Oryctolagus cuniculus: one gene and its partner. The protein of the gene in region 2 interacts with the protein of the main gene of each other region in a pairwise test. Links are inferred from orthologs where the notes say so. Each region holds a gene or a part of one and is shown on either strand. Other genes may lie near its edges.

Evidence for each region.
Region 1: the proteins of AP1B1 (region 2) and KIF13A interact in binary tests that used the Homo sapiens proteins (3 or more experiments, as listed by UniProt). The link is inferred for Oryctolagus cuniculus from reciprocal best matches to the Homo sapiens genes AP1B1 and KIF13A.

The regions. Positions count from the first base shown.
Region 1 is NC_091436.1:145,194,648-145,198,948, forward strand, and holds the start of KIF13A (kinesin-like protein KIF13A), read right to left. Parts: upstream 3,046-4,301; 5' UTR 2,869-3,045; coding exon 2,814-2,868; intron 2,552-2,813; coding exon 2,461-2,551; intron 1-2,460. UniProt on the Homo sapiens protein: Plus end-directed microtubule-dependent motor protein involved in intracellular transport and regulating various processes such as mannose-6-phosphate receptor (M6PR) transport to the plasma membrane, endosomal sorting during melanosome biogenesis and cytokinesis.
Region 2 is NC_091452.1:22,751,826-22,755,629, forward strand, and holds part of AP1B1 (AP-1 complex subunit beta-1), read right to left. Parts: intron 3,418-3,804; coding exon 3,274-3,417; intron 1-3,273. UniProt on the Homo sapiens protein: Subunit of clathrin-associated adaptor protein complex 1 that plays a role in protein sorting in the late-Golgi/trans-Golgi network (TGN) and/or endosomes.

The DNA of each region.
Region 1 (4,301 bases), on a different chromosome or scaffold from region 2:
TGTCAGCACCAAAACAAACATCTCCAGCCTCAGACAGCCTCTGATCTTTCTTGGTCCTCGTCATGCAGTCCTGACTTTAGTTCCATAAAGAGGGGAAGATGATGAAAGCTGAGCCAGTCTACTTCTTTTCCTGGAAGTCAATGCACCCTCACTTGTTTTACTGGGAAGACTGAAAACTTTTATCCAGTAATTAGAATTTTGACTCATGTTTAATACGCTGGTAATTTCATGAACTTGCATAGAAATATAGTAATTGTCATTTTGACACAGGCTTGCCAATATGCATTTACTTAAAGACTTCTTACATGTCAAATCTTGGACTTTTTGGTTTGAAAAATAAGAACATCCTCAGTATTCTCCTGGCTTACCCTCACCCCACCCTGGCTGTACCCAGAAACAAATGATAGGAAGAACTGTAAATATAGCATGAAACACTTTTGCAAATAATCAACCCAAAGCCCAAGGGACAAGCTGTTTCTATTTTTAACTGATCTGTTGCTTTAAGGAAAAACTCTGTAGAGAAATAGGAAACCAAACTGCATAATGGAAATCAAAATGCATTTGGGGACCTTAATCAACAAGTAGCAGTGCTGTGTAGAGATCCCTGTAAACTGAATGACCTGCCGGTACACTGAGTGAACCCCACAAAAAGGGTCCATCCACCACTTGAAGAATCAGATCTGCCAGGACAGAATAAGAGAACACGCATACTTCAACACTGTTCTTAAAACTACCCAGTAAGCAAGGCAATGGATGAATACCAAAATCACCCTGTAAGTCTTGTCTTTACATATTCTGAGTAGTAATTAATGTGACAAACTACAAATAAATGATCAACTAATTATACTTAGCATTTGGAATCAACTGTCTACAGCTATACATTCCATCCAAATTCCACAAAATCTATTCCTCTACACAAATGACCACATTTAATTTCATTAAGTAGTAACTGACAATGGCACTCCTGAGGGTTAAGAGTGACAAGGAGCAGGTGCCAAACCAGCAGGGAAAACAGAAGCAGCAGCCACATAAAAGGAATTAAAATCATCTACCTGTTTCCCAGAGTGGTTTGAAGAATCCCACCCAATGGAACTTTCTTCTGAAACAATGTAACTATATCCAGTCTAGGGGAGAGGGGAACAAACTTTGGTAGTGTGGACATCAAATTTAATTGGTAAATATTGTAACTTAATCAATGAGTTTGCTACCAACATGAAATTGTATTGCTTTAAACATAACCAATGTCCAAGGATACACAATTACTAAAATGTATTGAATGCAACATTTTAAGTATAATTAAGCTATTTAATATCACCATAAGAATCTGTTAGAAGTAGCAGAATGTTTGCAAATGGGATTAAAACTTGCTAGACCCAATACAAAAAACAAAGAATTTCCAATATTACCTCCTCATTATTTTCTTCCTCCAACTTAGCACAATTGCGACAGAAGGCATGATTACAGAACAGAGGCACTTGCAATCTTTAGCAATAAAATAACAAACCCTACTTCATAGTCTCTAGTGAAAAAAAAAATTCTCTGAACAGCAAAATTCACTAAGTGTAACTCATCAATCAACAGGTGACTTTCAGAAACAAACTCATTCGAGAAAGAATTTTGTAAAATCTCATGCTTTTTCTTTCATATTTTTTACAAGCTACTGCCTTGCTGCACTGAATGAATCCCAACCCATTCCTTCTCACGGTCGCACCAGAAAAATGCCAAATATTCAAATCATTTTAGGGCATTTTCCCATACAGTTGCATGCAACAGAGCAGAATTTATAAAGATCCAACAGTTACCACTTTTCAAATGCAAATATGTTGCCATCTAGTAAATACAACTCCCTTTTAAACATCCCCAGTGTCTATACAGTTCAGGTCACTACTTTTGTTTCCCTGAAAATCAGAATCTGCGCGTTACATTCAGGCATTATCTTCACCCGGCACCACCACGAACAACAACAACAAAAAAACAGATCTGGTAATGGCCCAGCCTGAGCTCGCATCACCCAAGAACGCTTGGCTTTCTTTTTCCACCTATTTTCCACGCAACGTCCCTACACAACTCTGCTAAAGGAAGCAAACCTATGCGGTAGTGCACTGGTTCCTAGGTACAATAGGCTTGGGCTGGTCATTGCCGGCTCCGGGCCTCAGTTTCCCTGACTGTAAAATGCAGGTCTCCAGGTCCCATCCGGCCCCCGCACTCTCTGACAAGCGCTGGCTGCGGCCTGGGGGCCTGGCCTGACACCGCTGCAGATGGGAGGGGACCGGGAAAGGGGGTGGGGTGCACAGAGGAAAGAGAAGAACTTGGACTTGCAGCCGCGTCAAAGAGGAGCGTGAGACAAACTTGAAGCCGTCCCCCTAACAATAGGGAAAGAGCACTCCCGTTTTCCCGGCTCAAAGTTGCGGGACCCGGAGAGCCTGGGTCCCCCTCCCGCCCGCTCCGTGCGCGCTGTACCTTTCTCCCTGTTTGGTGTTGGCAGGAGGAGGGTGCAGGACTGTCTGATTCCCTTCCATCTCCACCACGCACTTGGTGTTCAGCTCCAGTTCTGAAAGCACAGGGGAAACCGACGCTGCAAACTCGAGCATCCGCGCCCAGCCCGCCGCGCCGCGCCGCGCGGGGGCTCCGTCCTGGAGGCGGCGGGGCCGGGAGACGGCGCCCGGGCTCCCCGGCTCCGCGGCCAGGGCGGGCGGGCGACCGCCGCCTCCGCCCGGAACCCCGGCTCCCCGGCTCCGCCGGCCCGAGCAGTTCCCAAAGTTGCCCCGGCCCCCAGCCCGAGCAGAAATCACAACCAGCAGAAAGCTCCTTACCTCGTCGGTTCATGGGCCGGACGCGGACGGCAACTTTTACCTTGGTATCCGACATGTTGGCGGCGCCCGCTCGGCCCTGGCGGCCCTCACGCGCCGCGCCGCCGCCGCCGCCGCCGCCGCGCGCGCCCGGAGCGCGGCCACCGCCGCTCGGCCGAGAGCTCCGCTGGGCAGCGCCGAGGCGCGCGGGCCATCCCGGGGGAGCGCGACGCGGGGCTCGGCCGCGGCCCGGGGAGGGGCGGGCGCGCGGGGCGGGGCGCGGCGGCGGCGGCGGCGGCGGCAGCGGCGGCGGGCGGGGAGGAGGCCGCGCCGCCGGCCCAGACGCCGCTCTAGCCTCGCCGGCCCAGCCCGGCTCACAGCGCCTCAGCCGCTCGCGGCCGCCGCGCCGCCATCTTCGCGCCCCGCGGTGCTAGGGGGGCGGGTGGGGACCGCAGGCGGGCGGGGCGCGGGCTCAGGCGCCGCCGGGTGCCGAGCGCTGGACGTGCGGTTTCCGCGGTGCGGGCGCCTGCGGGGACCCTGCGGACACCTTCGGCGGGCCACGGGCACCGCGCGCCAGAGCCCGAAGGCGCCGTGAGGGGCCGGGCACGGGCGGCCAGGCCTCCCTCGGCGGGAACGACGCCCTGGCCGCCGCTCCGGAGCGGGCTGCGGTGTTTCAGGAGCTTTGTGGCGAACCGAGACCGAGGGGGAGTGTGTGTCAGCCGCGCCCTCGCCCGTGTGCGGACGCTCCTGACCGGGCAGAGAGGGCCAGAGGGTCGGGAGGCTCCTTAACGCTTACATAAGAATGAGTGGTGGCGGAGCCTGTCCGGCTAGCCAAATGCAGACCTCGCCGCCGGGCCGGAGCTGGGACAACCGCAGGGGCTCGGTTTGGCTCAACAAGTGCTTCTGGGGCGCGCACGGTGTGCCGGGCATTTTAGAAGTCTCAAGTCCAGAGCTTGGCGATTCTCCCATCTTGCTGGAGTGTGGAAATCTATGCGTTCATGAGTTCCTTTACTGCGAATTGTATTGCGGGCCTACTGTGAGTAGGGTGCTGTGCGGAGGGCGCACTAGCTGGATGCGTAATGCGCCGCGGGGGGCACACGCTGAGGTGGGCAAATGGCTTGGGGAGGCCAGCTAGCATGACTCTGGGTCACGGGAGGGGTGCGCCTGAGAGAGAGCCGGTATGGCTCCAGCAGGTGCCAAGCTGTGGCCTGATTCTAAAAGGGACAGCCAACTGGCCACCGTCAGAGGTCCTAAGGTGTCCTTCCTCTTCTCCATTGCCACCTGCGAGCTTTCCTTGTCCATGCAGCTACTCTACACGTATTCTGAGCTCCCTGCAGTGTCGCAGGCACTGTGCTGCGTGCTTGGCTGCAGGATCTCGGCCATTTCTGAACGGAAGGAGTCAACGGTCCGGTTCTGTGCCAGCCTCCTAGCCTTTGGGCTGCTGAGACAACGCCTTTCACTGACCTTGCAACCTGCCCTCGTAGAGGCTCTCCTACATCCAGCTTGCAGACT
Region 2 (3,804 bases):
AGAAACTGGTCAGAGCAAGGACAGTACCTAGGAGGAGCCCTCGTGTGGCAGGCCCTCTGCTGCTTGGCTGCCCTTGTCACTCGAGTCTCAAGGGCCTCCTCCTCTGGGAAGCCTGTCTCCGGGCACTTCCCCGTGTTCATGCCCCAGTCACGATCCTCTGGGTCAGCACCCTGCACCCAGATGGCCCAGAGGGTAGGCTCTGCCACTGTCCTGACATCCATGGCCTGGAGCCTGGTGGGAGCCAGTGTTTGAGGAGTGTTTGCAGGGCAAACAGCAGAAATTACAGCCCTGCCCACAAAGGGCAGCACTGGGTCACTCTGAACATGCAGATGCCTTGCAGGCCTTGCTCTCCCTTCAATGACTCCCCGCCCCGCAATGTCAAAGGGCTTTGGTCTCTCCTGACAGCTTCCCAAAGTGCACCTGGCGCCAACAACCCACATACAGCAGTCACAGCCCAAGTCCTGTCAACTGTGGCTCCTGTACCTGCCCTGAGGGCCTCAATTCTGCCCTCCTCCATCTGTAGCCTCTCTCCCCTGCCCACAGCAGCCACAGTCAGCTCATAAAATGTGAATGTGACCACGGTGCCTGGAAACCCCTCCCAGCACTGCAATGGCTGCCACAGGCTTGGTCCCTCCATCTCCCCTGAGACCCACTGTCTCCTCTGCTGGGAAAATGCCTCCCACCCCTCCTTACTTGGCTAATCCTGAAAAACCAGTGGGGGTGGGGGTCCCCACTGTCAGTTCCCAGCTGCAGGCTACAACCTTGGCTGCCCCGCCCCGCTCCCCCAGCCCTGCCCCCACCAGGCCTCCTTTTTCCTGCGGCAGACTTGCTCCTGCCTCAGCCACAAGTGCCTGATTCTGTTGGCTGTGGGTGGGAACCTGGAAGCTCCTAGAGTCTAGGACAGGTTCTGTTTGTTGGATGAACCAATGAACTCTCACCGCACAGCCTCGGTGTTGACCTAAATGCCCGAGGAACTCAATGTTCTTGGTCACACAGAGCTGCACCCCTCTTGCCTGGGGCGAGTGGAGAATGAGTTTACCCGAGGAGAGGGACAAACGGCTGACACCTGCGGCTCCTGAGGGTGAGCGCACCCACGTGCTAGAACCTCTGACTGCGGTGGTCAGAAAGGTTCTTCCGTTGTTGCGAGGGCTCCTCTTCCAGGCAGCCCGCACTCATCACTCCTGACTCACAACCCCCCGCCTCACTCCCAGTGCTCACTGCTGCTTCACCCACATGGCTCTCTACTAAGAAAAACTGGAGATGACATCTCTTCAAACCAACACACAAGCTGATGGCCAGCACCCACAGGGCTGCAGGAGTCTCTGCTGTTCTGTCACTCATCCTGGGTTTTTAACAGTCCTGGGTCAGCCTCATGACTTGGTAGCACCAATCCCGTGTAGAAAGACAGACGCACACCTTCTAAATCAGGGTGGGGGACATGTTTTCTGCCAAGGGCCATCTGGATACCTGCAGCATCACTTGGGGCCACAGACGATGATCAACCTAAAAATTAGTCTGCTGTAGATTTATTGAATTTCGAGTCCCACCTGTGGTTGCCTAGGCAAAGCCAGACCAAGTGGTTTCCCAGGCCTCATACAGCCCGCGGGCCGTACACTCCCCACCCCTGCTCAACATCAGTGCTCTCAGATCCTGCTGCCCGACAACGCTGGCATTCGGGTGAGTGCATGGGTGGCTCTCAAACACTTCGGGCACAGACACACAGGGTTCGGAGCAGACACTGTGCCACCACCCTGCACACAGTTCCAGGCTGTCACCAGCAGTTACCCCAGGCAAAAAGCACTCCGGTTTCTCAACCACGAGACGGAGTAGCAGCACTTAAAGCTGCTGGGAGCAGTCAGTGGGACGGAGCGTAGGGCTGGCACAGCAGCCGGCGGCTAGCATTCGAGCTGCTGTCTGCCGTGGCTTCTCAGGACCCAGGTCCCGGCAGGGCGCCACTGCAGGTGGCACCAGCACATCATGGCTGAGGTCAGGGCAGAGCAGGCCAGGTGCTGGCTCACGGCTCTCCAGTCGTGACGTATCTCCTTGTGTCCCTGAAGCTACGCAGTGTTCTTCCCGGGGAGGGGCCCTCAGAAGAGAGAGGGAATCTGGCCAAACCCGCCTCTCTGGCAGATTCCCTGATGCTCATGTGATCCACACTGATGCCAGGCCCACAGGGTCTCGCACTCCAAACTCAACTGCCCTTCCTCAGCCCCGGAACACCCTGTGTCCCATCTCAGCACCTTTTCTCACCTACCGCTCAAACCAGAAAACCAGAAGCCCCCACGCACCGGCCCCCCACCCCCGTCCTGCTGCTCCTCTCTCCCAGGAGTTCAAGCCCAGCCTCCACTCCACCCCCAGAGACCCTCCTTGGTCCCGGCCACCAGCAGCACCCATCCATTCCTCCACGGTCTCCTGCCAGCTCCACACTCGCCCAGAGCCACAGCCAGGTCCAAGTACAAACTGCACTGTTCCAGTGCTCTGCTTACAGTCTCCCAGCAACGCAGGGTCAAGAGCAAATGCGCTAGCCTCGCCCCGGCCACTGTCCCGGCATTCACCTCGCTAACCTGCCGTCTGGCCAGGACTCCCAGGTGTGGTGCTGCCTCTGTAGTACAGTGGGCATGTGTGGGGCATTTTCAGGAGGTGTGATGGGAGGGGCACCAGGTTGTGGGACAGAGAGTCAGGGAGGCTGGGTTTTGTCATGGGCACAATGGCCCTCACAACAAGCACTGTCCTGCACTCTTGGAGCACCTTCCGTGAGGTTTCAAGGCGCCCTGAAATCTTGCAGAGCGTAAGTCCTGGGCAGCCTGCTCTTGGTCTTGCTCAGAACTTCACTGACAGGTCAGTCACCACGTCAAACTACTGGCACTGCGCTCTGCACCGCACCCAGCTGCTGCAGCCCCAGTGCTAACACAGAAATCCGAGCTGGGTTCTCTTCCTTTCATGCTGTCTTGATGGAGAACAGCACAGCATTACTCTGGATTCTGTGTGTGAATGGACCATGCAGCCAGGATGGGGGCTGATGGCACTGGCAACTCGGTCCCTCTCTCAAGGCGGGCTCTCCCTCACCTCCGGGTCTCCCCGCTAAGCTGTGCCCTGGGCCTGGAGCCCTGCCTCCCCAACACCTGACTTAGTTCCTCTTCCCCTGGACTCCCATCACCCACTTCCCGCGTGAGCACTGGTCTGAGCCAAATCCACACACAGATCGCTTAGGGAGCCCCGTGTCTGTGTCCAGAACGTCTCTGTGCTCCCAGGATGAGGAGCTGAGGTTCTTACTGCTTTGGGGGCCACGTAGGATCCTGAGAGGCTGCCCACGCCACTGGTCAGGTCAAAGAGATCACTCAGGCCACTGCCAATGGGAGCTCCGAGACTGGCTGGTGCTGCTGCGGTGGGGGGTGCTGCAAAGTTGGTGCCCCCAATCTGGAAAGGAGGGGTGAAGGGTCAGAGGCAGATACCAGAGGAGTGGCATCAAAGTCCCAGGAGAAGCAGAGCCACTCGGCTCTTGAGAGAACAGTGGGAGTGGGGCTGGGGACAGGACAGCCCTGACATCAACTCCGAGTGGCAAAGAAACAAGATAGGGTAAGGGAGGCGGAGGAGACAGGCTGAGCACCCCATCCCTTGCAAGCCTGGAGCCTTGAGGGTGATCTCTGTGGAAGGGCTGGGGATGCTCCCCGCTAACAGCTCAAGGGTCAAAGGAGGAAACTGAGGGATGTGTGACACACCACTGGGTGGCACTGTGCTGGGCAGATGGGGCTCTGACTCCAGGAGGTCAGAGCAGGGCTGCAGGGACTGGGAGGGCCGGTGGCA